7 linked regions of the Danio rerio genome follow. The protein of the gene in region 2 binds, or shares a complex with, the protein of the main gene of each other region. Links are inferred from orthologs where the notes say so. Each region holds a gene or a part of one and is shown on either strand. Other genes may lie near its edges. The genes, in order: pfdn6, ruvbl2, asdurf, anp32e, uxt, mbtd1 and ing3.

Evidence for each region.
Region 1: ruvbl2 (region 2) and pfdn6 share a complex: the UniProt entries of both Homo sapiens proteins name them as parts of the PAQosome complex. The link is inferred for Danio rerio from reciprocal best matches to the Homo sapiens genes RUVBL2 and PFDN6.
Region 3: ruvbl2 (region 2) and asdurf share a complex: the UniProt entries of both Homo sapiens proteins name them as parts of the PAQosome complex. The link is inferred for Danio rerio from reciprocal best matches to the Homo sapiens genes RUVBL2 and ASDURF.
Region 4: ruvbl2 (region 2) and anp32e share a complex: the UniProt entries of both Homo sapiens proteins name them as parts of the SWR1-like complex. The link is inferred for Danio rerio from reciprocal best matches to the Homo sapiens genes RUVBL2 and ANP32E.
Region 5: ruvbl2 (region 2) and uxt share a complex: the UniProt entries of both Homo sapiens proteins name them as parts of the PAQosome complex. The link is inferred for Danio rerio from reciprocal best matches to the Homo sapiens genes RUVBL2 and UXT.
Region 6: ruvbl2 (region 2) and mbtd1 share a complex: the UniProt entries of both Homo sapiens proteins name them as parts of the nuA4 histone acetyltransferase complex. The link is inferred for Danio rerio from reciprocal best matches to the Homo sapiens genes RUVBL2 and MBTD1.
Region 7: ruvbl2 (region 2) and ing3 share a complex: the UniProt entries of both Homo sapiens proteins name them as parts of the SWR1-like complex. The link is inferred for Danio rerio from reciprocal best matches to the Homo sapiens genes RUVBL2 and ING3.

Annotation. Positions count from the first base shown.
Region 1 is NC_133189.1:35,060,256-35,064,413, forward strand, and holds the start of pfdn6 (prefoldin subunit 6), read right to left. Parts: upstream 2,801-4,158; 5' UTR 2,765-2,800; coding exon 2,701-2,764; intron 1-2,700. UniProt on the Homo sapiens protein: Binds specifically to cytosolic chaperonin (c-CPN) and transfers target proteins to it. Binds to nascent polypeptide chain and promotes folding in an environment in which there are many competing pathways for nonnative proteins.
Region 2 is NC_133180.1:31,379,708-31,383,207, reverse strand, and holds part of ruvbl2 (ruvB-like 2), read right to left. Parts: intron 3,156-3,500; coding exon 3,026-3,155; intron 2,669-3,025; coding exon 2,602-2,668; intron 1,584-2,601; coding exon 1,477-1,583; intron 1,149-1,476; coding exon 1,055-1,148; intron 951-1,054; coding exon 827-950; intron 713-826; coding exon 618-712; intron 1-617. UniProt on the Homo sapiens protein: Possesses single-stranded DNA-stimulated ATPase and ATP-dependent DNA helicase (5' to 3') activity; hexamerization is thought to be critical for ATP hydrolysis and adjacent subunits in the ring-like structure contribute to the ATPase activity.
Region 3 is NC_133184.1:42,816,361-42,820,580, forward strand, and holds asdurf (ASNSD1 upstream open reading frame protein), read right to left. Parts: upstream 2,801-4,220; 5' UTR 2,726-2,800; coding exon 2,648-2,725; intron 2,526-2,647; coding exon 2,472-2,525; intron 1,047-2,471; coding exon 971-1,046; intron 849-970; coding exon 808-848; 3' UTR 796-807; downstream 1-795. Other genes in the region: asnsd1 (asparagine synthetase domain-containing protein 1), read right to left, coding at 1-795.
Region 4 is NC_133194.1:45,163,932-45,167,934, forward strand, and holds the start of anp32e (acidic leucine-rich nuclear phosphoprotein 32 family member E), read left to right. Parts: upstream 1-1,203; 5' UTR 1,204-1,299; coding exon 1,300-1,353; intron 1,354-4,003. UniProt on the Homo sapiens protein: Histone chaperone that specifically mediates the genome-wide removal of histone H2A.Z/H2AZ1 from the nucleosome: removes H2A.Z/H2AZ1 from its normal sites of deposition, especially from enhancer and insulator regions.
Region 5 is NC_133183.1:10,257,341-10,260,186, reverse strand, and holds the end of uxt (protein UXT), read right to left. Parts: intron 919-2,846; coding exon 855-918; intron 738-854; coding exon 675-737; 3' UTR 501-674; downstream 1-500. UniProt on the Homo sapiens protein: Involved in gene transcription regulation. Acts in concert with the corepressor URI1 to regulate androgen receptor AR-mediated transcription. Together with URI1, associates with chromatin to the NKX3-1 promoter region.
Region 6 is NC_133187.1:35,459,040-35,462,539, forward strand, and holds part of mbtd1 (MBT domain-containing protein 1), read right to left. Parts: coding exon 3,295-3,500; intron 3,183-3,294; coding exon 3,127-3,182; intron 3,048-3,126; coding exon 2,943-3,047; intron 1-2,942. UniProt on the Homo sapiens protein: Chromatin reader component of the NuA4 histone acetyltransferase complex, a multiprotein complex involved in transcriptional activation of select genes principally by acetylation of nucleosomal histones H4 and H2A.
Region 7 is NC_133179.1:11,169,977-11,174,087, forward strand, and holds the start of ing3 (inhibitor of growth protein 3), read left to right. Parts: upstream 1-1,311; 5' UTR 1,312-1,445; coding exon 1,446-1,473; intron 1,474-1,602; coding exon 1,603-1,674; intron 1,675-2,548; coding exon 2,549-2,649; intron 2,650-3,593; coding exon 3,594-3,659; intron 3,660-3,920; coding exon 3,921-4,017; intron 4,018-4,111. UniProt on the Homo sapiens protein: Component of the NuA4 histone acetyltransferase (HAT) complex which is involved in transcriptional activation of select genes principally by acetylation of nucleosomal histones H4 and H2A.

The sequences.
Region 1 (4,158 bases), on a different chromosome or scaffold from region 2:
TCATTTTTACACTATATCTCACACTTTTTGGATAATGTTTTCTGAAAAATATGAATACATGATATGTCTGTTATTTTAAAAAGAAATCAAACACATTAAAGTGAAAGTTTACACAAGTACAATACACTGGTCTGTTTTATAATATGTAGTAATATTATAATTTTGCCTTTCATTAAATATTTTAATTTTAAAATATTTGAGCAATCATGAGACATTAAAATCAAAGCAATTACATATTTTCTATTATCAATAAAATCTATTTTTAATTTAAAATCTAAAGCTTATAATAAGCTACAGTATTATCATTACTGGGCAGCATGGTGGCGCAGTGGGCAGCGCAGTCGCCTCACAGCAAGAAAGTCGCTGATTCAAGCCTCGGCTGGGTCAGTAGGTGAACTGGGTGAGCTAAATTGTTTGTAATGTATGTGTGTGAATGATTGTGTATAGTTTACTAGTGATGGGTTACAGATAGAAGGGCATTCGCTGTGTAAAACGTGCTGGATAAGTTAGCGGTTCATTCCGCTATGGCAACCCCAAATTAATAAAGGGACTAAGCCGAAAAAAATGATGAATGATTTATCATTACTGAAAGTTTTAAAGGTTGATATTGTTTTTATTTCATTCATTTTCTTGTGGGCTTAGTCCCTTTATTCATCCAGGGTCGCCACAGCGGAATGAACCGCCAACTTACCCAGCAAGTTTTTACGCAGCAGATGCCCTTCCAGCCGCAACCCATCTCGGGGAAATGTTTATATTTAATGTTATTTTATTTATATATATTTAATATATATATATATATATATATATATATATATATATATATATATATATATATATATATATATATATATTATCACTAAATTAAATAAAAACAACATCAACATCAACATCAAAGTATGTTGTATACTGTAAACTCGCAGACTTTTTTCGTCACATCCATAACACATGTTTATTTATTTATTTAAAATGTATTTAATTTTTTAAAAATTTACAGATTGATTTTTTCTGCTCCCATGACTCTGTGGTTGGTAGCTTCTCTGGGAATTCATGTTTTGAAATGTGTGTATATGTATGTATATGTATGTATGTATGTATGCATGCATGCATGCATGCATGCATGCATGTATGTATATATATATATATATATATATATATATATATATATATATATATATATATATATATATATACATACACACACACATACATACATACATATATACATACATACATATATACATACATACATATATATATGCATTATTTGGTATATGTTTTTTGAACAATCATGATTTATAAAATCTCAAATTAATTATATTTATTCTAATTTAGTTAAAACTTTTTATTTATTCAAAGATATGTTGCAGGAAATGTGCAAGTGTACACTGGTATAACTTGGCTATATGAATATTCATAATGGTGTTACTATAAATACCAAGAAACTTACACAATGAATCATAAAATAAAATAAAATAGTAAAAGCCTTTTTAAAACGTTCAATAATGAGAATTTGTAGATTGAATGTGGATTTTGTCTAAAATAGCTCTGGGTAGCTAAATCAAGTCCAAATACAACATAACCGTGACATTTGTACTTTATCAGTGCATTGCACTACATAGATATTAAACCTGAATACAACAAATTACTACAAATACGTTAAATATAAATTATTAAAGGAGCACACACATACATATATACACACACATACATACATACATATATACATACATACATATATATATGCATTATTTGGTATATGTTTTTTGAACAATCATGATTTATAAAATCTCAAATTAATTATATTTATTCTAATTTAGTTAAAACTTTTTATTTATTCAAAGATATGTTGCAGGAAATGTGCAAGTGTACACTGGTATAACTTGGCTATATGAATATTCATAATGGTGTTACTATAAATACCAAGAAACTTACACAATGAATCATAAAATAAAATAAAATAGTAAAAGCCTTTTTAAAACGTTCAATAATGAGAATTTGTAGATTGAATGTGGATTTTGTCTAAAATAGCTCTGGGTAGCTAAATCAAGTCCAAATACAACATAACCGTGACATTTGTACTTTATCAGTGCATTGCACTACATAGATATTAAACCTGAATACAACAAATTACTACAAATACGTTAAATATAAATTATTAAAGGAGCCGAACATAAAGATGATTGAGGTAAAGTTGGTTTTATATTCGCACATTCGTTCAGTGAAAACTTGTGACATCCCTACATTGTTTACCATGGTGATTTTGATAGTCAATGGCTGCTAATATGATTTTACCATTTAGAATTGACAAAAATACTTTAATAAGATTTTTAGAGAGAAAGCCAATTTACACAATGAGGTAAAGTTGGTTTTATATTTACACATTCAGACTTTCTCCTATTAAAAATTCCGAAAAGTATTCTGTAGTTAGCAAATCCTAAATAGTGAAACCATATTAGCAGACGATGGCTATCAAATTACACCATTATTCAGTCAAATAAATAGTGATAACGTTAATGTAGTCTTATTTACATGTGATTTCAGACCGAATATTCAAAGTACCATGGTAAACAATATAGGGAGCATGCCACACATTGTCACTGAACGAATGTGCGAATATAAAACCAACTTTGCCTCAATATAAAGATGCCCATGCAGGGAGTGTTGGATTGCTAACTCTGAGCTTTTCGTGCTGTAAGTTACCTTTCTGGAGTTGTTGATATTTCTCCAACTCAGCTTGCAATTTCTTCTGAATCGCTTCAGCCATCACACCTGCTATTCCAATGTCTGACTTATTATTATTGCTAAATAATAAAAATCACGATATTTTATGACAAATGCAGACAGTCAGCAGCACACTACTCAAGCACACAGTCTGAGGCGCACGGGAAATGACGTCATATCATTGCGTCACATGGGGGTTTTACGATAGCTGATAAAAAGAGTTACTTCGCCATCTAGTGTTTAAGAAAAACATACACAATTTTTTTCAGTATTATGTTTATTCACACACCTTTAAATAATTTGCTCTATAATTTTACGCACCATATGTAGATTTAACGCATCAGTTAATGTGATTTTTGGATTAATACGATGGGTACAATTTTTCCAGTATCTAAAAGCGTAGTGCCTCTCCTGTCCATGTGGTGTCAGTCTATCCTCTTCCTCCAAGCCCTCTGTAGTGACAGTCAAGGCAATATGGCAGCGCGCATGGTTCAAATTCTAACGTGAAGGTCTTTTTTCGGGTGTGCGCGACCACATAGAATCACAACAGCAGGTAAAGTCAGTTATATATTTTTTCTATAACACAAGCAAATGTAATGACTGTTCTAAATCTGCACCTTAAGCAGCGTTTTAAACATATGTAGGGTAAAATAGTATCATGTGCTATATTCATCTATTACGAGAATGAACCATGGTTTAAAGAGTTAAGTGTAATCATACTTTTTTTGTCGTATCGATTGTTATTTATAACCACAGTATTACTGAAAGTACTACAGTTTAGCTGGGGTTAGTGTAACAAAACCATGTTGATTTGAGGTTACCATGGTTAGTTTTTGTGGTAAAACCATGGTTAATTTTCGTAATAGATGTCATGATGTTTTAACTTTATCGATATTTGCTAGTAACGTTATTCTTCTTCTTGTGATTCTTCAAAACTTTTTTTATTTTTTTCAATAAAAAAATCAAATTTTCTAAGATGACAAACAAACAAACAACCATTAACCACCATTTAACCATAGTATCTGTGGTAAACCTGTAACGTTAGTTACACTAATAATATGTCTGTCAAAACACGCGCACACACACACTTCCCTTGGTTCAATTTCATAAGGGCAGGAATGAAATAATAGAATAAAACATAAATAATTCATAAATTCTATTGTTTTGTCAGGCAGTCATTTTGAGTGTGGCTATTTTTGCTTTTTTCTATAATGAACCTGATATCTTTGCTGTGAGTTGAATGTGTATTATGAAATGTGTTCATGGTTTTAGAGTTATGACAGAGGTTGTCACTTTGTAAAATTCATATAAAACATTTGTATGATGATTAGTCCTCTGAACCTGCAATTTTAGTTGAAGAAATCACTTTTTTTGGACACTTTAATCTCAGTTGTTTTGATTATGCTTGTTACTTGTGGGAGCGACACAGTAGTTTGT
Region 2 (3,500 bases):
CAAGACACAGTTCCACTGTACAATTCAGAAGGTGTACCTTTGGGGAAGTTATGTTTTTTTAATCTATCAAAAAATGTATCATTTTTAATTCATGTGGTTGTCTTGTTGAATGCTGCTATTTTGTGACTGTTGTATGGTTGTATTTATGTTATCAGTGTTAAAGACAAATTTCCTTTTACTGCCAGAATAGACAAACTTAAAACAAACAAACTAAATTATTTATATTCAGTGAACAGAAAACACTTCAAAATATTTAAAGGCATGGAAATTTTCGTACGAGAAATTGCTTGAATGTGTTTTTTTGGATATATTATTTTACCCATATGTTTTACATTTTATTTTCACAAAGATTATTTGAAACTTTAAATCTGAATTTTTGTAAATGTAATTCTGAGGACTTGAAAATTAGATGTCATTTCTTTGATCATAGATTTAGTTATTATAAATTCAATAAATAATACAGCCAGGAAAGATTTTTTGCTCTTTTATAAAAAAATTTTAAACAAATAATAATGCATTAAAACATAGATTTTACTAAAAAGAAAAAGCCAACTCTTTCTGTTGGCTGGTAAGGTAAGGTAACACTTTGACTACCTTACTAGTCTGGGTCTACTTACCCCAGGAATAATTTCAGCTTTGCCTTCCTCTCTCCATTCAGACACTTTAGCATTGATCTGCTCCCGAACCTCTGACTTAATCTCTCCTGTGTCGCCTGCAGAACAGACCATCAAACAACACAGCGCATACTCAAACATCTATGAACAGATATTATTAAAAAACACCACTCAAAGAGCAGTATAAAAACAATTACAAGAGCATGGCAAACCTGAAAATAAGGCCAAGAATCCCTGTGTGCGGCTGTTGATGACGTCAATTTCATGAAGAGAGACGGTGTGAACAACCTCCTTCCTTTTTTGAAGTTCCCCCTCTGGACACTGCACAAACTGCGTCTGAAATAAACATTAAACACAATAAACATATATAAAAAACTCTCTCTGGGAACTGGTGGCATTGATTGATGGATTCATTTCACAGATGAAGACAAACTGTGTACCTGTGCTCCCATGGCATCATAGTCTCTTGCTCGAGTAAATGACCGTCCAAGCTTGCTAATCTTCCCTGTGGCTTTATCAATAGTAATCACATCTCTGCAGAAAATGAAATATGACATTATGAGGTCATTTAACAATTTAAGCACATGAAAGCCTGAATAATGAGGTTTGGCTCAGACCTCAAAAGTTTAGTTTTGTTGTTTATTCATATAATAAATGAGAATTATATTGTATAAGTCTTGCCAAAGTAAACACACTGTTCAAAGCATATTTAATCATTTATCAACCTAGCAATAAATAAAAGTAATCATCATCATTTTCAAACGATCACTATAATTATTAACACTGCTATTGTGCAGCCCAGTCTGGCGAATTTGTTATAAATAGAAAATGACCACAGATTTCAGCTTTAAAATCCACCTACCCGGCTTGTACTCTCTCTTTACTGAGGCTCTCGATCATCTTAGTCCCCAGATCATATATGGTTTCCATCTCTGTCGTCTTCAGAGTGAGTTTACCAACTTTTGCACCCTTAACACAATCACAGAAAGGAGATAAACTCATTCACAACCAACAGGGTTTACTTAAGGACATTCCAAGCCTCTATGTAAGCTCAACTTATAAAAGTAGCTGAAAACTAATTTCTCACTTTCATAGTAATTTAAAAATTCATTTCCCACTGAAGGATGATAAACATCTTTAATAATGCTTCCTAGCCAAACAATTGAATTGGTTTAGAGAGCATTCTAGAAAGTGTGTTGCCTGATTAAATCTTCTGTTTGTCAGGGAATGTTTTTTATCTGGATTTTATCAGATTAAATAAACCTTTATTTTGGTCTATGGAAAATAGACATATGCCGAATTGCAGATATTCAATAATTCACATGAACGTGAGCAATATTGCTATCGTGGGCACAAAATACAGTGACTAACTTTTAGAGTGCCTTTGAGGAATATTCAGATTGTTGTATTGGCAGTGGTTCAACACAGCACCAAATGATTGAAGTCTAAGCAGGGCAATTTATTTTCAAACATTAACATTTTCACATGAACATCTATACAGTAAGGCTTCTTTTGTTAACATCAGTTAATTTAATTAAAGCCTTCTGTACACACCATTTAAAGAGGAGCTAAAGTGCAGGACACTTTGGGATTCAGGTGTGTGATTAAACAGACAAATACACTTAATATGTAAACGTGTGCCCTGCGTGTTTTATTTTAAACACAACTGATTTTCTCTTAAATGAGCGCAAACAGTTACTAAAGTAATCGAATGCTTTCCTTATAGATCTGTGCATTCTTAAAGTGACCTCTACTATGAAACAAAACGAGAGATTCGTTTTTAGCTCTTCACTTCTTTAATAACAGAGGTGTCACTTTTTAATGGCATGTACTGATTTTGGATAATATGCCTGTTTAAGTAATCTTTTTTAAACAGCTTAGCTTAATATTTTAATACAGAAAACAGTTTAATCGGAAAAGCAATTAATCTGAACAAGACAAAACTAATACCAGCAGAAGCCTAATAGAGAAAGAGGAGAAGACTCACTGTTCCTGTAGCAGGTCTGTCAATCTGAATCTCTACCACCTCTCCTTCAATGATCTCCGTCTCCTCTCTGGCAGACCAAAAACACAGAACATAAGTCGTCATGCCATTGTTATTGCAATTAAACTAACCACATACCAGAACAATCAAAACAACTATGAATCTATAATATCCAATGAAACATGATCCAAAATAAATGTTAATCCTAAATTCATTACACACTTTGATAAGGAATATTATAGCTCACATAAAACAGCAAATGAGTAACTTATATTTTCAAATCCTTAATCTGCAAATCTTTTAATCCTCAACTGAAGATGTCCACTCACTTTTCACAGCTCAAAATGTCAAAGTAACAAGCATATAAGGCTTGTCTTTGATTGAAGATTTGACAGTAATGTTTATTTCTTCATTCAGGCTCACTCACTTTATTCTGACTCCTATGGCCTTGCGGAATGCTTGGCTCAAAGCCTCAGTCTTGCTCATCTCCAGAGAGAAAATCTCACTCCCAGCCAGAGCAGTGAAAGGTGTGTCAGGACCAAGTGACTGGGCAATACCTGGACATTAAACAGAGCTCACAGTTATGAACAGGTACTGCACTTTATTTACTATAATATAATATAATATAATATAATATAATATAATATAATATAATATATGCGTGTGCATACATTGATGAACAGATATATAACATTTTAGTGAAATAAGATGATAAAAACCATAACAAAAATAAAAATAATAAAAAACAAACAATAACAAAAAAATTAATAAATAAATATCGCCGTTAATCTCATTTCAAAGTTGCGTTGGAAGCTGGGTCTATTCTACGCAAGCTATGGTGACTTTCACCTTGATATTTTAGCACTGATGTATACCTGACCGGTGAGCTGTGCTCTTCAGGA
Region 3 (4,220 bases), on a different chromosome or scaffold from region 2:
GAATGCTTTCAGATTTTCAACAGAGGTTTGAGAGGCGTTATGATTTTGTTCAGTTGTAAGTGATGAAATGGATGTGTTCATCGGACAAACAGGGGAGGTCAGGTAAAGTCCAGAACTATTTGTGTTTAAAGAAACACATTTGGGAAGACCTTCACATTTCAATTCCGGGCTTTCAATTGGCTTGTCGTCACTGTGGAAAATCCATGGATAAAGTTCAAAAATAAATGTACCATCTAGTGAAGTGTCTGTTAGGTCAAACCTGTAAACTCCACCAGGTGGTACCTCCTGCCATTGGGATTGACTATCATCTGCTGGCTGGGAAGCAACTGATACGAGTGTGAAAAAAGCTCTTTCAGGATTGAATTTCCAAAGCAGACTTCTTCTCCCGAAAAAGTCCCTCCCGAACCAGATGCAGCGCTCAGACTTTTGGTAATAGATAAAGGCCCACGGTCCTTCGAGTTGTGATAACAAACATACAATATCTGAGGCACTGGTGGCCATTGACAGTTGATGAAGAAGAACTTTGGTGTCATTTTCTTCCTGCTCTAATTTCAGACCACCAAACACCTCTCCATTCCAGAGAAGCATATTCCCAGTGTCATCTTGAAGAGGTTGAGGGGTCAGGCAACCCCTCATATGAAGTACATGTGCAGAGAATAGGACACTGCAGTTTGAGATTTCTTTTGTAATGTCTTTGCTACAATTGGGTCCTCTGTGTTTGAGATTTTGAAGCACATTCTCCTCCAGTGGATCATGTGGTGTGGTCAAACTGACCACACAGCAGATCCCACACATGATATCACTTCACTATATATCTTGATATTCTTTCCGCATGTTATCCAGGTCCTCTGTATAACAGAATATTATGACAATGTTAGAAGAACACACTCAAAATGGTGGCATTAGTATTGTATTTATGTATCATCTATCAAAAAAGCAGAAACAACTCAAGTATAACAGAAACACTTACGTTTACAAGAGCTAAGGGTTTCTCCTTTGTCTGCCAGAAAGAATATATTGCTGTTGGGTTGCTGGGTGTACACTCTCTGTGAATATAATCTTAGTATTACTGGAATGTGATGATATCAAGTCAAGTTGAGCTTTATTGTCATTCCACTACATGTGTGATCTCGGCATGGGACGGTAACCGGTTTCAAGGTTTACCGCGGTTTGGAAAATTCAAGGTTTTAATCCCAGTAAATTGTTCTGTTATACCGTTCCCAAGTTATATGTAAAAGTTTTTTTATATATTTTTATGTGTTGTATAGAAATCTACGTTTTTCAAACTAACGAATAGAGCAGAAGTCAAAGATTTATTTTAACTATTTAGCCTGACATGTTTACTGTTCCAAAATATTATGTTCCTTAAAATAAATAATTTGTGTTCAGTGGGGAAATTATAAATGTTTGTTCTATTTTACCCATACATTTTAAAAAAGAGAGAGCAGTAATCACTTTCACAATACTGTGATACCGTGGTATTTTTATACAAGGTTATCATACCGTCAGAAATTTATACCGGCCCATGCCTAGTGTGAACATACAGAGAAACTAAATGTGCAGTCTCCCAGGACAACGGTGCTACATAAATTAATCATAAATACAAACACAACTCTGCACATAAGAGCTATTTTAAAAACCTACGCATAACTATAAGATACTTCACTATACACATGGACTGGCTATAGAAGTACTCTAGAAAATCTCCACAAAAATGGGCCAGAAATGAAACTCAGTCCTATTTGCTTCATTTACAAGTCTGCCATAAGAAGAACACTGACTTTGAGGTAAATTATCTTAAAATAATAAATTCAATAGTTCAAAGGAATTATCCAATTTGAATCCCCATGGGTTAGAAAATGGCAACAGATGATACATTTAAGGTACTTTATAAGTTGATAATTTTGTCAAGCTTAAATTCTACTTTGCTTTTAATTGATGTCAAATAAACTGTTTCACAATTACGTTTTATCTTTCATAAATTTAACTGGAAAAATATCTCTAAACATCGAAGGAACTTCTTAGTTGATATTTTTAAATGTGAATGTAATTAATATCATGGTAAGACTTTATTTTGATGGTCCCTGTTGCACATTTTTCTGACTAAAGTTGTACTGCAACTAAATGCCAGTTACTTCTCATTTGGGTATTAGTAGACTGTCTGCTTAATATCTGCTGATACTGCTGCTTTCAACATTTCACTGACTAAGAAACTTTGCAAGTACATGTCAATTTACACCAACCCCACCTGACAGTCTACTTATAATCTATTGCGAATTAGTATAGTGGAGCATAAGTTCATATATTATATTGTATGCTACACTAGAAAACATTTTAGTATATATTGCCTTCTATAGCGATGTGGTTTGACTTTGTTACATCTATAATTAAGTGAAAGCATCTGCTACACCAAATGCAGAATGACTCTTGATAATATATAGAAAGTGACAAGACGATATGACGTTACATACCCTGTTTTTCTTCAAGTTACTTAACTCGTCCACAACAATCTTTTGCTCTTTTATCTGCGAATGAATAGTTATGTTTTTAGGATCATCAAAAAACAGAAATTACTAAACATGCTTAACGCGTTTTACTGGTGTCAACTGTATACTATAAATTACAAAAAACATATATGATAGACAACCTTTTGGTTCAGCTCCTCTTTTTGTGCGCGCTCTTCTGAGGCCCCAGGCTCAGTTCGCTGTATGTTCTTGGAGGACATTGTTTATTAATACGCTTCAGATCATTTTTAGGGAAACATCTCCACGAGCAAGTAACTCGTTCGTCGCACAAGAATGACGTATGCGCCAACGACGCTTTAAAAGTGCGTCACGTAATCCTAACCCCATTATCCCCCATAAACAAAGCCTGTTAAAGAATAATGTTGGGTGGATAAATCTGCAGCATCTAAACAAAGACGCGTTGTTGAATGAAACAGGGAATCTAAGTAATGTGGTCAAATACGGTTCAAATACGTCGAATGCTTTCAAATAGAGTTTTTACCCGGATATTAACGACTTTTCATCGCGAAACAGCGGCTAGCCCATCTATCTAAACCTGATATTATCATATTATCTTATATCATATTTTGCCATTCTTCTAATGTACGATAAGATGGTAATAAACAAAGCCTATCATAGCTCTAGGCGTACATTATCTTATCCAAATATTTTGGTTTATCCTCAGTAATTTGAGAGCTATCCTAAAGAGGATTGTTTGCATTTAACTTTCAAGATGAACAAATAATGCTCATCTTAATGGAAAAATTGTTCAGGGTGTCCGCAGGGACTTTAAAAGTCTTACATTTCAAAAACAACATTTTAGGCCTTTTAAAACTTTACTTAAAAGGGTGTTACAGGTCTTAAATAATTTTAAACAGGTGTTAATTTTTTTGTCCATGTAAAGCTATTTAATCGGTACAAATAACAATTATTCTAAAAAAACAATTAACTAAATTGTATATTCTAAAACTCTTTACCAATTTGGTTCAATTATCTTTCTTAAAATAAACTTATTTTGTTTATAAATAAGTGTTTGAATTGTAATGGGGCAAGTAAAAACAAATTGCACTGGTCCTTAGAAAACAAGTTTGACATTCATTCATTCATTTTCTTTTCAGTTTAGTTCCTTTATTCATCAGGGGTCGCCACAGCGGAATGAACTACTAACCTATCCAGCATATGTTTTACACAGCGTGTGCCCTTCCAGCTGTAACCCAGTACTGGGAAACATCCATACACGCTCATTCACACTTATACACTACAGACATTTTAGTTTATTTATTTCACCTATACTTCATGACTTTGGACTGTGGGGGAAACCGGAGCACCAGAAGGAAACCCACACCAACATGGGAGAACATGCAAACTTCACACAAAAATGCCAACTGACCCAGTCAAGACTCGAACCAGCGACCTTCTTGCTGTGAGGCAACAGTGCTAACCAATGAGCCACTGTATCCCTCCTAAATTTTGTACATAGGAATAATGCTCTAAAGTGAAGCGAAGAGAGGGGTGGGGGGTTGTGCATGAACCCCGAATCATATCTCTAGGGGCCCCCAATATGCGTAAGCCCTTTAGGACTGTCCTGACCCTACCACAGGGGTGTCCAACCTTGGTCCTGGAGGGCCAGTGTCCTGCTAAGTTTAGCTCCAACACACCTGCTGGGAAGTTTCTAGTATATCTAGTAAGAGCTTGATTAGAGTTGGAGCTAAAGTC
Region 4 (4,003 bases), on a different chromosome or scaffold from region 2:
TATGTAATTTTTACAGTATAAACTGGGTCTTTTTAGGGGGATAGTGTGTGTGAGAGAGAGTGACTCTGTCTTTCTTTAACAATTTAGGATGCGGGTAATTGGCACCTAAAAGGTTAAAAATATCTAAAATAGGCTGTTGACTACAATAAAGACAATAATAATGGTAAAATTATGATAATAAAGGGTAAAAAACATATCTGATCTGTACTTTTAAAAAGTAATTGTAAAAGAAAAGATTGATATATGATACACAATCAAACAAAGAGTCTGCCCTAATGACTGTTTCATACAGAAAAGATTATTCACTTCTTCTCTGGCAGCCCAGATAAATCAGCTTAGCAGATCTGTTGTGGTGTCCATTGCGGTTCAGGGTCAGTGTGCCACGCAGCCCTAGTGGTCACCTTGGTGTACTGCACTAATGCACAGCGCTCAAAGCCTTCATTTTACATTTCCGTGGGGATACTTGTTTTTTATGCTGTTTTAAAATGAATGAAGACATTTTTAGGGAAAAAAATATGAAGGTTGTTTATTAATATATAATAACAAGTGAATATCCTGCTGGTGCTCAATGACTAAAATAGGCCTTTGTGAGTGAAGCGATCAGCAGCAGCACATTATGGGACAGATGGCGAGCAGACTTTAAGCCACCATGACTGTCTGGGTTTATGGTCAGCCATTTTGTATAGAACAAATGATTGTAGAGAACATACTCAATGTTTAAGACTCTTTTGACCTCACAGAACACATTTTACACGTGTTTTAAGGTGAAAATAACATAAATTATATTTTAAGATGTAAAAATGTTTTATTTTTGACTCTTAAGCATTGGCGTTCACTTTAGATTCTTCAGAATACACCATCTATCCCTGGTCTATAAATTAATTTCGACTTATTGGAGTATTAAAGGACACGGACTTCGCTTCAGGGCGCCAATGAGAACAAAGAATAGGCGGATTTACAGTTTGAAAGCTTCATACTGACGTTCTGGACGACCCGTCGAAAATCTACTGCGCGCGTATTTCCAGCCAATCGCGTCAGGCTATAAAGACCGATTATGTTGATAAGCGTGATCTGTTTGAGTGACAGGCACGTTCTCCAATCACGCGTTGACAAATAGCGATCATCCAATCGAAACGCGAAGTAGGCGGGATCTCAAAAAGGGGGTTGGGTGCGAGGTATCATGGAGGATCAGTTGGAGAACGGCAGCCATTGAAGATAGCCGAGCCGTTGGTCCGCGCTCCGGAGTTTCTGACAAATTTATTTTCTTTACGCGATCCCAGCGCAGCAATAACCAACCAAATGGAGATGAAGAAGAGGATTAGCTTAGAGCTGAGGAACAGAACTCCAGCAGAGGTGAGCGCTTTAACTATTTATTTTGTTCACAGAAACGCGAAATGATGTTAGTTCGCAACCTGTCTGTCTATCTATCCTGCACGCTCGGAATAGTCAGTGGAGTCCGCTGAATGGCAGCGCGGCTTGGAGACCACATGGGCGCCTTAACGGGATGCCAATTTGGATTTTTGGAGACTGCATATTTGGATATACACAAACAAGTAGTCGATATAATCGTAATTTTAAGCGCGTTAAACTCTTGGTGAATCTTTTGTGAACTCCTCACACGATCTCTTCGCCATTACATTAGACTTGTCGATGTGGGCGTCCCAACAAGCACCTCAAAATAACACACTTCGATATTAAGTATTTTTATCGGTCGCAAATATGTTTATTACTCAACAAGTGTCGTCTAATTTGCTTACGATGTTATTACAATGCCCCGATACGATATTGTTCCCGCTTCCAGCAGGAAACGGTAACAATTAAAGTAAAACTGTTGTGTATTGTTATATAATTCCTACCCCAGTCTTCCTTACATGCAAAACATCACGCGAATAAATCTCCTATCTCTTCATATAAAAAGTTTATTATACGCTAGCTTCACAGATGCGCTCCCTACTATATGGCTTTTCTAATCTAGTAACGTACGTTAAAAAACGAGCAGTTTCGTCTTCCATAGGCGGACATCTTACTCTCTCCGGCTCCTCAACATTAGGCATTCACTCGCCTCCGTTCTTCATCTTAAGACCCTCTAAAATGTTCAGGGTTTGAGAGCACAAGCACATATGGAGCGAATGTCAGGTCAAACTGTATTATGAAGCGTTCATGGCTTCTGCAGCGCCTCGCGGTGTGTGTGGTGAGGATGTGTGTGTGTTTCTGCTCGACTCCGTGTTGACGGGCGGGGAGTGGAAGTCATTTTGTTGCATCAATAGTTGAGACGCAGATGACGATGTTTTGAAGCTTTGACTCTGTTATTATTAATAAAAGTTCAGTGGTTTGATTCACTACGCTTACGTGGTGTGGAGAAACGAATAATTGGCGCATAAGAGCCAGAAATAGTCGCTGCGGTTTAAAAAAAAACTAGTTGCCATTTTCTTACGCGGTTACGTTAATGGCGTAATTATGTAACCGTCTGCAAAATTATTTATTCCCGACGTTAAACTATGCATTGGGCTTTAGGAAGCTGTTTAGGATGTCAGTCGCCGTTTTAATTGAAGGAATGTGGCAGATGGTGAAGGGCGAGCCCCCCTTCCTCCTCTCCGATTTTAGTAGATTATTGTAGGCTTGCCTGAACCGAAGTATTGAAGCACGCTTCTTTTGAATGGGGTAATGATGGATGGGATCTTTTACACGAGCTTGAGTTGATACTCTGTCTGACATGACATGGTGGACGTGCATAAGCGATACGTGGCTTTTAACTTGGGTGTATCTTGCGCCACCGGTTTAAAAAATCTTGCGCGCGCTGTGTGAACATCTTGTGAAGAGCTGGCTGTAAATTCACACACACCAAATCCTGTGAGATGAGGTGGGGGAGGCATTACCAGGGCTACATTACACACACATCACGTGCTCAAAATGTAGGTATCTTTCCACAAGGGCAACAAGTTATTGAATATTTAAATTTTAGGGCTGCAGTGCATGACAGTGAGCGCGCGCGTGCACGTTTCTGTTTGTTTTTAATGGGAGAATCAGCACGTCTTTCCTCAAAGCTTTTAAGTGCACATCTGTTTATTTGTTGAATACATTTTTTTTGTATATATAGAAAAGTTTCAAACTTGTCAGATAAACAAATATCTATGTTAAAGGAATTGTCTATATTATAATTTAAATCCCATTTAAATTAAATCATTCCTGTTAAATACATTAATTACTTACATTAAAATGTAAAAGTGTAAATACATTAGAAAATATGTGTGTATTGTTTGTTTCAATAATTGGAATTAAAAACAGGCTCAACCAATGGTGGGAGACGGGGGCGGGGCTATCCAATGATAAATAGCATACAGCAGCTCTACAGAAACAGGAAGGATTCATACTTTGTGTAGTGCAAAATAAAAAAAAAAAAACATTTATATTCCAACCCATATTCAGTTATTTTTTTGCTGTCTCTAAATGTTCCATCTCCGTTAATTTTGTTTATGCTATATATTTTCCAATGTTTTTGAACTTTTTGGGAAAAGAAATGTATTTCAATTTTATTACTATTAATAAATGGGATTTCATTTACATGGGTCATAAATTAATTATAGACAATTCCCTTAACATGTATGGCTGTTTATCTGACACACACACATATATATATATATATATATATATATATATATATATATATATATATATATATTATGTTAGGGAAAAATATTAAACAAAAATAAATTTAAAATAGAGCAAAATTCAAGAAAAACTGAATTTATAAAATATAATAAATAATTTTGTTTTGCAATGTTTCACATGAATTTAAATGTTTTTTTTTTTATATATAAATATACCTATTTAAAAAATCTATTTTGTTTAAATGCACTAAAATATATGACCTATGTTTACTGATAAATTAAGAAAAATATTCATTTGCAAAATGGGATGTACTCTACACACATTGGCGTCAATATACCCTATGATATGTCGCACAAATTTCATAGCTTAAGTGCTTTGAGATTGGTTTTCCAAT
Region 5 (2,846 bases), on a different chromosome or scaffold from region 2:
ATAAAGTACCTCAAAGCTGAAATCAATTGAAATATTTAATATACTTTCTAAAATGCTATGTATCTCTTTCCAAAAACTTCTAACATTAGGACATGAAAATGGTCCTGTGAACCGCAATGCCTCCAACAATAAGTTCCCAATAAAAAAAACAATGTTTCTCCAGAAAAATTCTCTCTATTACGAAGAACGGGAAGTAGCCCATACATATATTTAGCCAGCCACTCCTCATTTGAGATGATAATGCCACTTTCTTTCTCCCATCTTTCTTTAATGTAGAGATGAACCCCCTAGTGATTTATACAATTTAGTTATAGTTTTTGACATTGGTTCAGCCATATAAGCTGAGGAGAATATTATAACTAGAGCACTCTTAGTCCTATCGTTATAATAGTTGGCAGTTCATTCCGCTGTGGCGACCCCTGATAAATAAGTGACTAAGCTGAAGGAAAAAGAAGCACAAAAAGTGATCTAAACATTAATAACAATCCCACTGACACATATTAACTGAAAAATTTTACACTTTATTCAGCAGCTATTTCTGGAAACAACAGTACAACCTGTTAAAAGGCAACGTTCTTCTGAACATGATTGCCATAATGTTCACATTGTTTGAAACAAACATTGCAGTCATATGTGCAAAGATGAATACACTGTGCTGTGATTGGTGTATGGTACTAAAACACCTCTCTCCTTCTGTCCTCTGGAAGATCCTTCAGTCCTTGCAATTCCCTCAACCCCTGTGAAAACAGAGTTTTATCACATTTTATTACATTCTAAATCACAATAAATGGTAAAAACAAAAAAGCAAAAGTAAAAAGCAAGTTAAAAAAATGTATATTAATAATCACGTATACCTCCAGAACCATGCGAATGTTGGCTTTTATCTTTGCTGCATCTTTGGTAAGAACTTCAGTATACCTAAACATTCAAATAATGGTAAATATTTGCACTGTAACACAAAAAAGGCTGATTTCAAAGGTAAAAATGCATAAGCTGACAGTATTCATTCATTCATTCTCTTTTCAGCTTAGTCCCTTTATTAATCTGGGGTCACCACAGTGGAAAGAACCGCCAACTTATCCATGAAATGTTTTACGCAGCGGATGCCCTTCCAGCTGCAACCCATCTCTGGGAAACATCCATACACACTCATACACTACGGACAACTTAGCCTAATTCAACTCTACCGCATGTCTTTGGACTGTGGGGGAAACCGGAGCACCCGGAAGAAACCCATGCACATGTAGGGAAAACATGCAAACTCCACACTGAAACGCCAACTGACCCAGCTGAGGCTCGAACCAGCGACCTTCTTGTTGTGAGGCGACCGCACTACCTACTGTGCCACTGCATCGCCCTGATTAACTGCAAGTTTTCTTAAAACATACAGTAATTAGCGGTAATCTTTTAGCACAGAATTTCCTGCTTGACAATTGAGTTTTTATGCATTATTATTGACATTCCTATGGTTCTTTCTTTTTCCTTTCCTCATTTTCATATTCTTATGGTTGTTTTTTGTGTAATAAAGAATATGATGTGTAGATGTTAGTACGGCAAAACAATGATTAATGAAATATGCTAGTTTACCATAAAAATGTGTAATTTATTTTACGGTTTGTATCGTATTTTTATCTGTAAAATACTGGCAACCACAGCTGATGTTTTTTAACCAGGAATTTTATGATTTAGTTTTTACAGTGTACACTATCATTAAGTCTATTTACTTATGTAAATATGTGTATACATAAACATTTGTTCAGTTTTTATATTAATTTAAATAATTTTTTTGACTGATACGCAAATGATTACATGATTTATTTAATTTACAGTGTGTACCGTTGAGCCCCGGCTGGGTCAGTTGATGTTTCTGTGTGGAGTTTGCTTGTTCTCCCCATGTTTGCGTGGGTTTCCTCCGGGTGTACAAATCCAAAGACGTGGTAGAGGTGCATTGGGTAAGCTAAACTCTCTGTAGTGTATGTGTGTGTATGAGTGTGTTCTTTTATTTTACAGTGAATTACTAACACCTGTTAATTACATTTTGAATTCCTAACATCTACACATCACATTCTTTGTTAGTAATCCAAAACAATGATGTATTAACACTATTAATGAAATATATTTTATAGTTTGTACTGTATTATTTTCAGTAAAATAACGGCAAACACAGCTGTCGTTATTTTTAACCATAAATTTCCTGAATTGTTTTTTACAGTGTATACTATAACTAGGCTAGAGCTAATACATATTTTTAGCCCATCAAGTATTTACTTACGTAAATGTGTGTAAATATACATTTATTCAGCTTTTATATTTATTTTAGATATATTAGATAGACTAATATGCAAATGTTTATATGATTTATGTACAATAAAGTTTGCAAAGTAATATTTTCTGTATCTTTTAGTTGATGTAATATATGCAAAACTTGCTTTGTTTACCAAACAAGTGGATCTAATGGAATTTGCATTGTAAACCTTAAATAAAATTTACAAAATATATATCATTTGTTTTCAGTTTTTAGTTATTATGCTCCCAAAATTATTCTGCATGAATCTGCAAATTATTTATTATTATTATTATTTTTTTTAATTTTGAGCAGAAATATAAAAAAATGCAGCTTTTGTCAGGCCTTCACTATAACTAAAAACCAGTGCTGTCAAATGATAAATCACACCCAAGATAATGGTTTGCATTTACATAAATATACAAAGTACACTAAATTGGCCGTAGTGTATGTGTGTGAATTAGAGTGTATGGATGTTTCCCAGTACTGGGTTGCAGCTGGAAGGGTATCCACTGTCTAAAACATTTGCTGGATAAGTTGGCGGTTCATTCCACTGTGGCGA
Region 6 (3,500 bases), on a different chromosome or scaffold from region 2:
GGAGACATCTGAAAACGGAGGCGGGGCTGCAGACGTTCGCCTCTCTGATTGGGGCTTTTCCTGAATATTAAGTAGCCTAACACGCACAGTTCAGTCCTGCTTTCTCTCCGTGTAAGTTCAGACTTCGTAAGTTTGATCAAGGCTGCAGTCTCTTCTTCTCAGTTTGATATGGAAAAGCAGACTATACCGAGGACACGGGTAAATCTTCTAAGGGAACAGTGTACTGTATAACTTCATTCACATCACCCTGGCTTCGTTGTTTCACTTTCTTAAAAATAAAATGTAAACATGATTTAAGGAACTGCCTATTTTCATTTTAATATTAGCAACTTAGACAGCAGACATGTTGAGGCGTCGTGCTGCATAAGATGAGCGTCATCTTCACTGTGTGGATATTTATAACAAAACGGAGCCGATAACAACTGCCTCCTATTAATTTTAGTGAAAATACGAAACACAGCCTCTCTTTTGCTGAGTATCAGTTTTAAGAATCGATAATGGCCATTTTAAAAGTATAACATACAATAAGTTTATACATTATAGGAAATAAAGGCAAGCGATCAGTCAATATACAGAATGTACGTGGTTACATTAATCATTAACTTATCTTTGCACTCAGCCAAAACACGTTACCTGAGAACAAGTAATAGATTCCAATGCCCAAAGTCAGGGAATATGTCGTTAGATAAAGATAACAAGATAAATGAAATATCCCGTTTAATAAATATAGTGAGATTAGATCCAGCGGGAGATGCTTGATGAGAAGTCCGACTAGCAGAGCTCTCGTCTGGGTAGATGGGCTGAGTGTGATTAAATGTTGAATGTGATGAGTTTTCAACAATACTTAATTGAAACTTTATTTTTTTACATGGTTTAATAATTTTTTGTTATTAAAATTGAAGTTCCTGTTTCAAAGCTTACAGATAGATGGCTAATTTGTATGTCATTGACACTTTTGGCACTTTTTTGGAGTATTTTCATAAGTTTTGTTTTTTCCTGTAAATGATTCAATAAATACCGTACCGTGACATTCATACCGAGGTATTACCGTACCGTGAAATTCTGATACCGTTACATCCCTAGTGTTGTCCAATGGAGTTTGCAAAGCTTTGGCTGTGAAGTCCTGTACTGCTTTCCAGAAAAAAAGTCATCTTTTTGCAGTCCCCAAAAATATGCATGATTAATCTTGAATATGTTTTACAACTGTGACACCTGGATGACACATTGGGTTACATTTTGCTTAAATGAAGTGGGGTCACATACATCCCATGCAAAAATTTATATATTTTTTGTTTAACTATTTTGTTATTGGAAAGGGAAATAAAAGTATTCTGGCATTTTGTCTCCCACTGATCCTCATTAAAATTATATTCCAAATCTCTTTGCCACACATTTTTAAGTGATCCTAGTGAAGAAATGTAACTGTCTTAATGAACGAGTCATTCAATAGATTCATTCAGAGGGCTCAATCATTTATAAACAAAAAAAGTACTAATATCGAGCTGCATGTATGGCTTGGTGTACATAGATTTTGGTAGGCCGACTGAAAAAACAATAGCCCCGGGACTTCAGGCTAACAGATTTAGCGAGTGACCTGAAGTGATCTTTATTAAATAGTCACTGAATCAAATTGATTCATTCAAAACGAAGATTCATTCAGAAAAGAATCATCACTGTTATTTAAAAAAGCAAAAGTGTTTCATTTGGAAATTTTTTGTGGGTGAAAAAAGAAACATTACCGACCATGTTATACAGGGTATATACAGGAATCCTACAGGTAATTTCAATACCTTTTTAAGACTTTTTAAAGACCTTCTCAGAATATTTTAAGACCTCATCGCCACTTCAAGTTCTAATCAGTATCAAACCTTTAACTTAATAAACAGTTGTTAATAAACAGTTGCAGTTAAATAAATCAATGGAGCACAACCATGCAACAGAATTCAGATAAGCTCGGAAGAAACAAGCTTGAAAGAATAAATTATGAGGTTGTTTTCAGGCATCAGCCACTGTTTAAACTCGTCTTTCTCCAACCAGGAGTACGCAAAATGTACGCTTACGTTTTCCCATTTTGCCATCTGTTTCACTCTATGGTTTCGCTACATGTGGAGAACATCACATCATCTGGTCGGAGGAGCTTGGCCAGACACAACTCGGTCCGAACCAATCGCGTGGATCGAGGACGTCCTTGTTAATATTAGGAGGAAAATAAATATATTTATGCCTTTTTGGAGTCAAACACTTTGGACAACGCTTTTAAGACTTTTTAAGGGCCTTAATTTTCTCATACTTGATTTATCAACTATTAATACGTTTTAAGACCCTGCGGACAGCCTGTTACATCTAAAATCTAACTTTTATTGTTAAATTACAGTCCACTGCAAATGACATGGAAAAAAAAAAAAAAAAAAAAAAAATCAACAACACTTGCAAGCATGACATTAGTGAAAAAATAGCCTCTTGATATTACCATATAATACTATGCTATTATATTGTATAATCTTAAAGGGCAGTGTCAATATTGAAGTGAGGCATTCTAACAAGCAGTAAATCCATGCAAGCCTTAGGTTTTTGTTTACTGCAAAATGAGTAGCATGCTAAGCTTATATCAGTGCACCTTGTTAAGACAGTAACTGCAATATTACCAGACTATACAGACTGCACACAGCTATGCACAAAGTACAAGATTGCACATCACAAACTTTTAGAATCAAACAGTTTTCACCAAATTCCGTAAGTGTTATAGTGTAACAAAATTTCCTACTAAATGGTTATATTTGTCACATTTATTGTCACCTTAAAACTGAATGCTCAACCATTAAATTAGCATATTTGAATAAAAAAATAAAATAAACATAACACATTTTAAAATATGGAATGACCTGTGGGAACCAAAATTTTAATGCCCTGTTAGGACCATAATGACTAATGACAAATCTTACCTTTCTTACAGTAGCAACACATATAGCGGAGAGATTTAGAGGGTCTATTGCTTCCAGCTTCATTCCGTCTTTAAACCAATCCCCATTCTGATCCACATCTTTAATCTGTGGATTTAAAAGATGATACATGTGAGCAAGTGGAGTGTATACAAACTGTTGAATAAAAAAGCAATTATAAAAGCACCTTAAGAAACAGCTGTGAGGGAGCATCCATCTGACCCTCAATCTTCTTCGACACCTCTGCAGAGTGCAACATAAGAGACATGTACATCCATAAGCCACAACAAGGTCATCAAATGTTATTTATGCTGAATTGACTTCAAGAAGGTTCATCTAAAACTCCCGCACTGACCGGATCTTTTGAAGCGATGTCCAATGCTTCGTGACCAGCCAATGGAATGGATGAGTGGGCTTAACATGTGACACCAGAAGTCATCAGTGCCGTCCTGGCTCTCCTCGTACACCAGGCGTAACCGGCCACCGATCACTTGTTCCACAAGAGCCACACGAGTGCGGCACAGGTGCGTCTTGTCCACCACTTCCACACGCATCAGTTTC
Region 7 (4,111 bases), on a different chromosome or scaffold from region 2:
ATGTTTTATAAAAGCCTCTTACACCACGACTGAACCAAATCATAACTGTCTACAATAAACGTGGGGTCAGGCTGAGGTTTCTTCCTCTCCAGAGACAGCTGGGCAGTTACATTGTCTTCCACTGTTGTGCAAAAGCCTCTTACACACAGACAGAAGCACTAAGTTGCCAGAACTGTCATTAAATATTGCAGTCAGTGCTGCCCTCCAAAGGCCAAAGCTGCATTAAACCTGCAGTCTTCAAACTAGTCTTCTATGTCTCTAATAACCATGAGGATACAAAATTAAGAGACACAAAACATTTGAATTATTTCTATAAGTTATACAATTTAGTAACTTCTTTAACACTGCTACTGATCTACAACAGGGGTGTCCAAACTCAATCCTGGAGGGCCGATGTCCTGCAAAGTTTAGTTCCAACCCCAATCAGACACACCTTAGCTAGGTAATCAAGCTCTTACTAGGCTTTCTAGAAACATCCATGCAGGTGTGTTGAGGCAAGTTGGAGCTAAATCCTGCAGGACACCGGCCCTCCAGTACCGAGTTTGGACATACCTGATTTACAAATTAAACTACAGATTTTCTAATGATAAAACATATATTTCAAAAGTATGTAAAATGTACTTGAAACAATTATTAGTGTAAAATTGACTTTTTTGATTGTATTACTGCAATGTTTTATACTCTGCATGCTTTATTTATCATTTACATCTTTCTCTTCATGTTATACATAATCATTCTTTTGTAAATGAAAATGTATTCAAAAAGAATGCTACTATAAAATAATCTACAAGTTTTTGTCTTAAAATCAGTGAAATATGTTTAAGTAATGTTTATGTGGCCAATAAATGATATAGCCTTTATCTCTGTGGAAATTTACTTTAATTTTACATGTTAGTTACTTTATTTGCTTTATATGCTTTTTTATTTTCTTAAAGATTGAACGTTTCTGTTATGTCAGTTTTATTTAAAAAATGAATTTATCTGTTAAACAATTGTGTCTAAACAATTATATTTACGTGATATAATATCTAATGTAAACAAGTATGTTTAGAACAGAACGAAAATGGCTATTTATTTATTTATTTATTTATTTATCTATTTATTTATTTATATATATATACCTACCTCTTATTGGGAGATGAGCAAATCGTACTAAAATGTACAAAGTACTAAAAGTTACAAAAGGCAGATTGCGTTGGACATCCCACAATGCGCTTGACGTAGTTTCAACTGAAAGAACTACAAGTTCCATAAAAACGATTTTCATAAAGAGTGCAGCTTCCGCGCAACTCCACCATCGTCCAATCAGATCCCACGCCCTTCACGTAAGCCCCTCCCCCGCCAGCTTGTGTTTTTTCCTCCCCTTCAGTTCTCCGCTGCCCGCGACGCCATATTGCCGAAAAACACCCTTTCTCTGAAACCTCCGAAAAACCATCTCCGCCAGAATGTTGTACCTTGAGGACTACCTCGAAAGTGAGTAAAACAGCTCTTTTATCTATATATGTTCGTATTATCGTAAGTAGGTGTTTTAGAGGGTGGTTTAGGGCGTGTTTTGCTGTCACATCCGTTAGCTTGTAACGCGGTTGTTCTTCTTCCCGGCAGTGATCGAGCAGCTACCCATGGATCTCCGCGACAGGTTTACGGAAATGAGAGAGATGGACCTGCAAGTGCAGAGTACGGTTTCAGTTTAAACTCACTTTTGTGCCTTAGAACACCACAGCTGACTTAAACTAACGTAAAGAGCCTTTCATATCAGTGGAGATCTGTTTGGTGAATTTGCAAGCATAATAAAAGCATGCATGTGTTGTGATGTTGCACACTGATGTTAAGTGCAATTAGAGCATGTGGAAGTTGAGTAACACCAGTGTCACCTAAACCAGGGAAAACTTAGGATACATTATTGCATTGAAATGCATTTTTTTGGTCACCCCAAGTAATTTAGAGTCTGACAGTGCCCCCATTGACAAGATTTTGATTGTCTTCATCACACGGGAACACAGTTTACTTATAGCAAATGCATGTATTTGTTAACAGATTAAGGTTTTGCATCAACCATAAACATGCATAGGTACTCATTCTAGTTAGAAATGTATATATTTCTAATTAAATCATTTTTACAAAACAGTTATCACAAAGACATTTCTTCTTGGAAATGTTATAGACAGTTTTCATTACATGTAATTTCCCGGTTACATTTCCCACCAAAATCATAAGGAAAGACTAATATTATTAAATCAATGTTTATATGTGTATATTCAAGTCTAGTTTTGTAGTTATAATTAAGATAAACCTAATTTACATCAGTTAAATATTTTTATATTATATAGTTTTAAATAATTTCATTTTATTTTGTGGTGATTGGGATCTGGATATTTTTCCACAGCTTTAGCAGTGATTCATGAATCACCCTTTGTAGGGGTTGCACCTACAGCCTTTTAATGATCTACTGAGATCTTTAACCAACCATAGACTTCCACAGTCGCCATCTGTGTGGTTGTGAGCCAAGTCGGGCTCTTGACTTCACTTTTGATCATGTTCCTTTGTTCAGATGCGATGGATCAGCTTGAGCAGCGGGTCAATGAGTTTTTTACTAATGCCAAGAAGAACAAGCCTGAATGGAGGGAAGAACAGATGGAAATCATCAAAAAGGTAAAGAACAGATGATGTGCACTTCAGTCGAACTGAGTGTTCTGCAGGTGATAATAATGTAGTATGAGATCTTTTAATGTTGATAATGCTTTTCCTTATTTGAACCATCAGTGTTTTTGGGTTGGACACTTTTTATTGACTCTTTTCAAAATTTAAATTAAACAAAAGGGGGGGAAAAGCAATATATGACATTTTAAAATGAATGGATATTAAATATTACAACCACACTTTACAATACAGTTCCAGTATAGTTAATTTATTTATTACCATTAACTAAGGATGAACAATATTTGCATATTATGAATTAATCATAGTCCTACGTTTAGTAATGTGTTATTAAAATCCATGCTTTTGCTTGTTAACATTAGTTAATCAACTGAGTTACCAAGTACTAGCAATAAACAATTGTATTTTATGTTAAAAAAGATGAATAAATACTGTAATAAATATATTGCTTATTATTTGTTAATGTTAGTAAGTAATTGCATTAGCTAATGTTTTCCAATGCAATCTTATTGTGAAGTGTTACCCATATTGTTTACTCCCGGAATCAGCTGCAAAATATATTGAACAATAAAAATTATATTGCAATTTAATTTAATAAAACATCTAAACTACATTCTAAGTGAAGCACAACATTTGCTTAACTGATATAATAAAGTTTGTATGTATAAGATGAGATCTTTACGCTGAAACTGACAGTGCATATTTTTTGTTACTAGCAAGATATGATATATTATTTTTTTGTTTTTATTTCATTTGTTATTCAATATTTTCCTTATTTTCATTATTATTTTTTAAATTGCATAATGATGAAATAATGATGAAATCATGATGAAACAACTGCTGGTTAAGTCATAACAATGATTGATAAAAAATTAATAATGGATAGTTTTGCATTAGAAGATAATATGCTTTCCTAATGATCTCTTTCTGTTTACCAGGACTACTATAAAGCTTTAGAAGATGCGGATGAAAAGGTCCAATTAGCCAATCAAATTTATGACCTGGTGAGTAATTTACTGTAACTAGCAACACTAGCCTTTGTGTCAGTACTGTATGGTCCCAGTAGGTGGCAGCACATCACTAATAGTAAAAAGCCAATGGATTTCTGGGAAGCTTTTTTGTTTGCTATTTAAATGCATACTAATGCTTTTTCGTGAGATTTAATAGACGTTTTTAAATACATTTTTCCTAATGAGAAGTGACATTTGAACTTGTGTGTGGGTTTGTGTAATCCGTTGTGTGTTGATCTTGTGCCTCTTATGTAGGTTGATAGACATTTACGGAAGTTGGATCAGGAGTTGGCAAAGTTTAAAATGGAGTTGGAAGCAGATAACGCTGGCATCACAGAGATCCTGGAAAGACGTGAGTGACGCCTCTCAATCACCTTTTTTACAGATAACTGGCTAATTTCAAAAGATAAAAAAGGTAGGAGTTGGCAAGTTTTTAAAATCAGTGT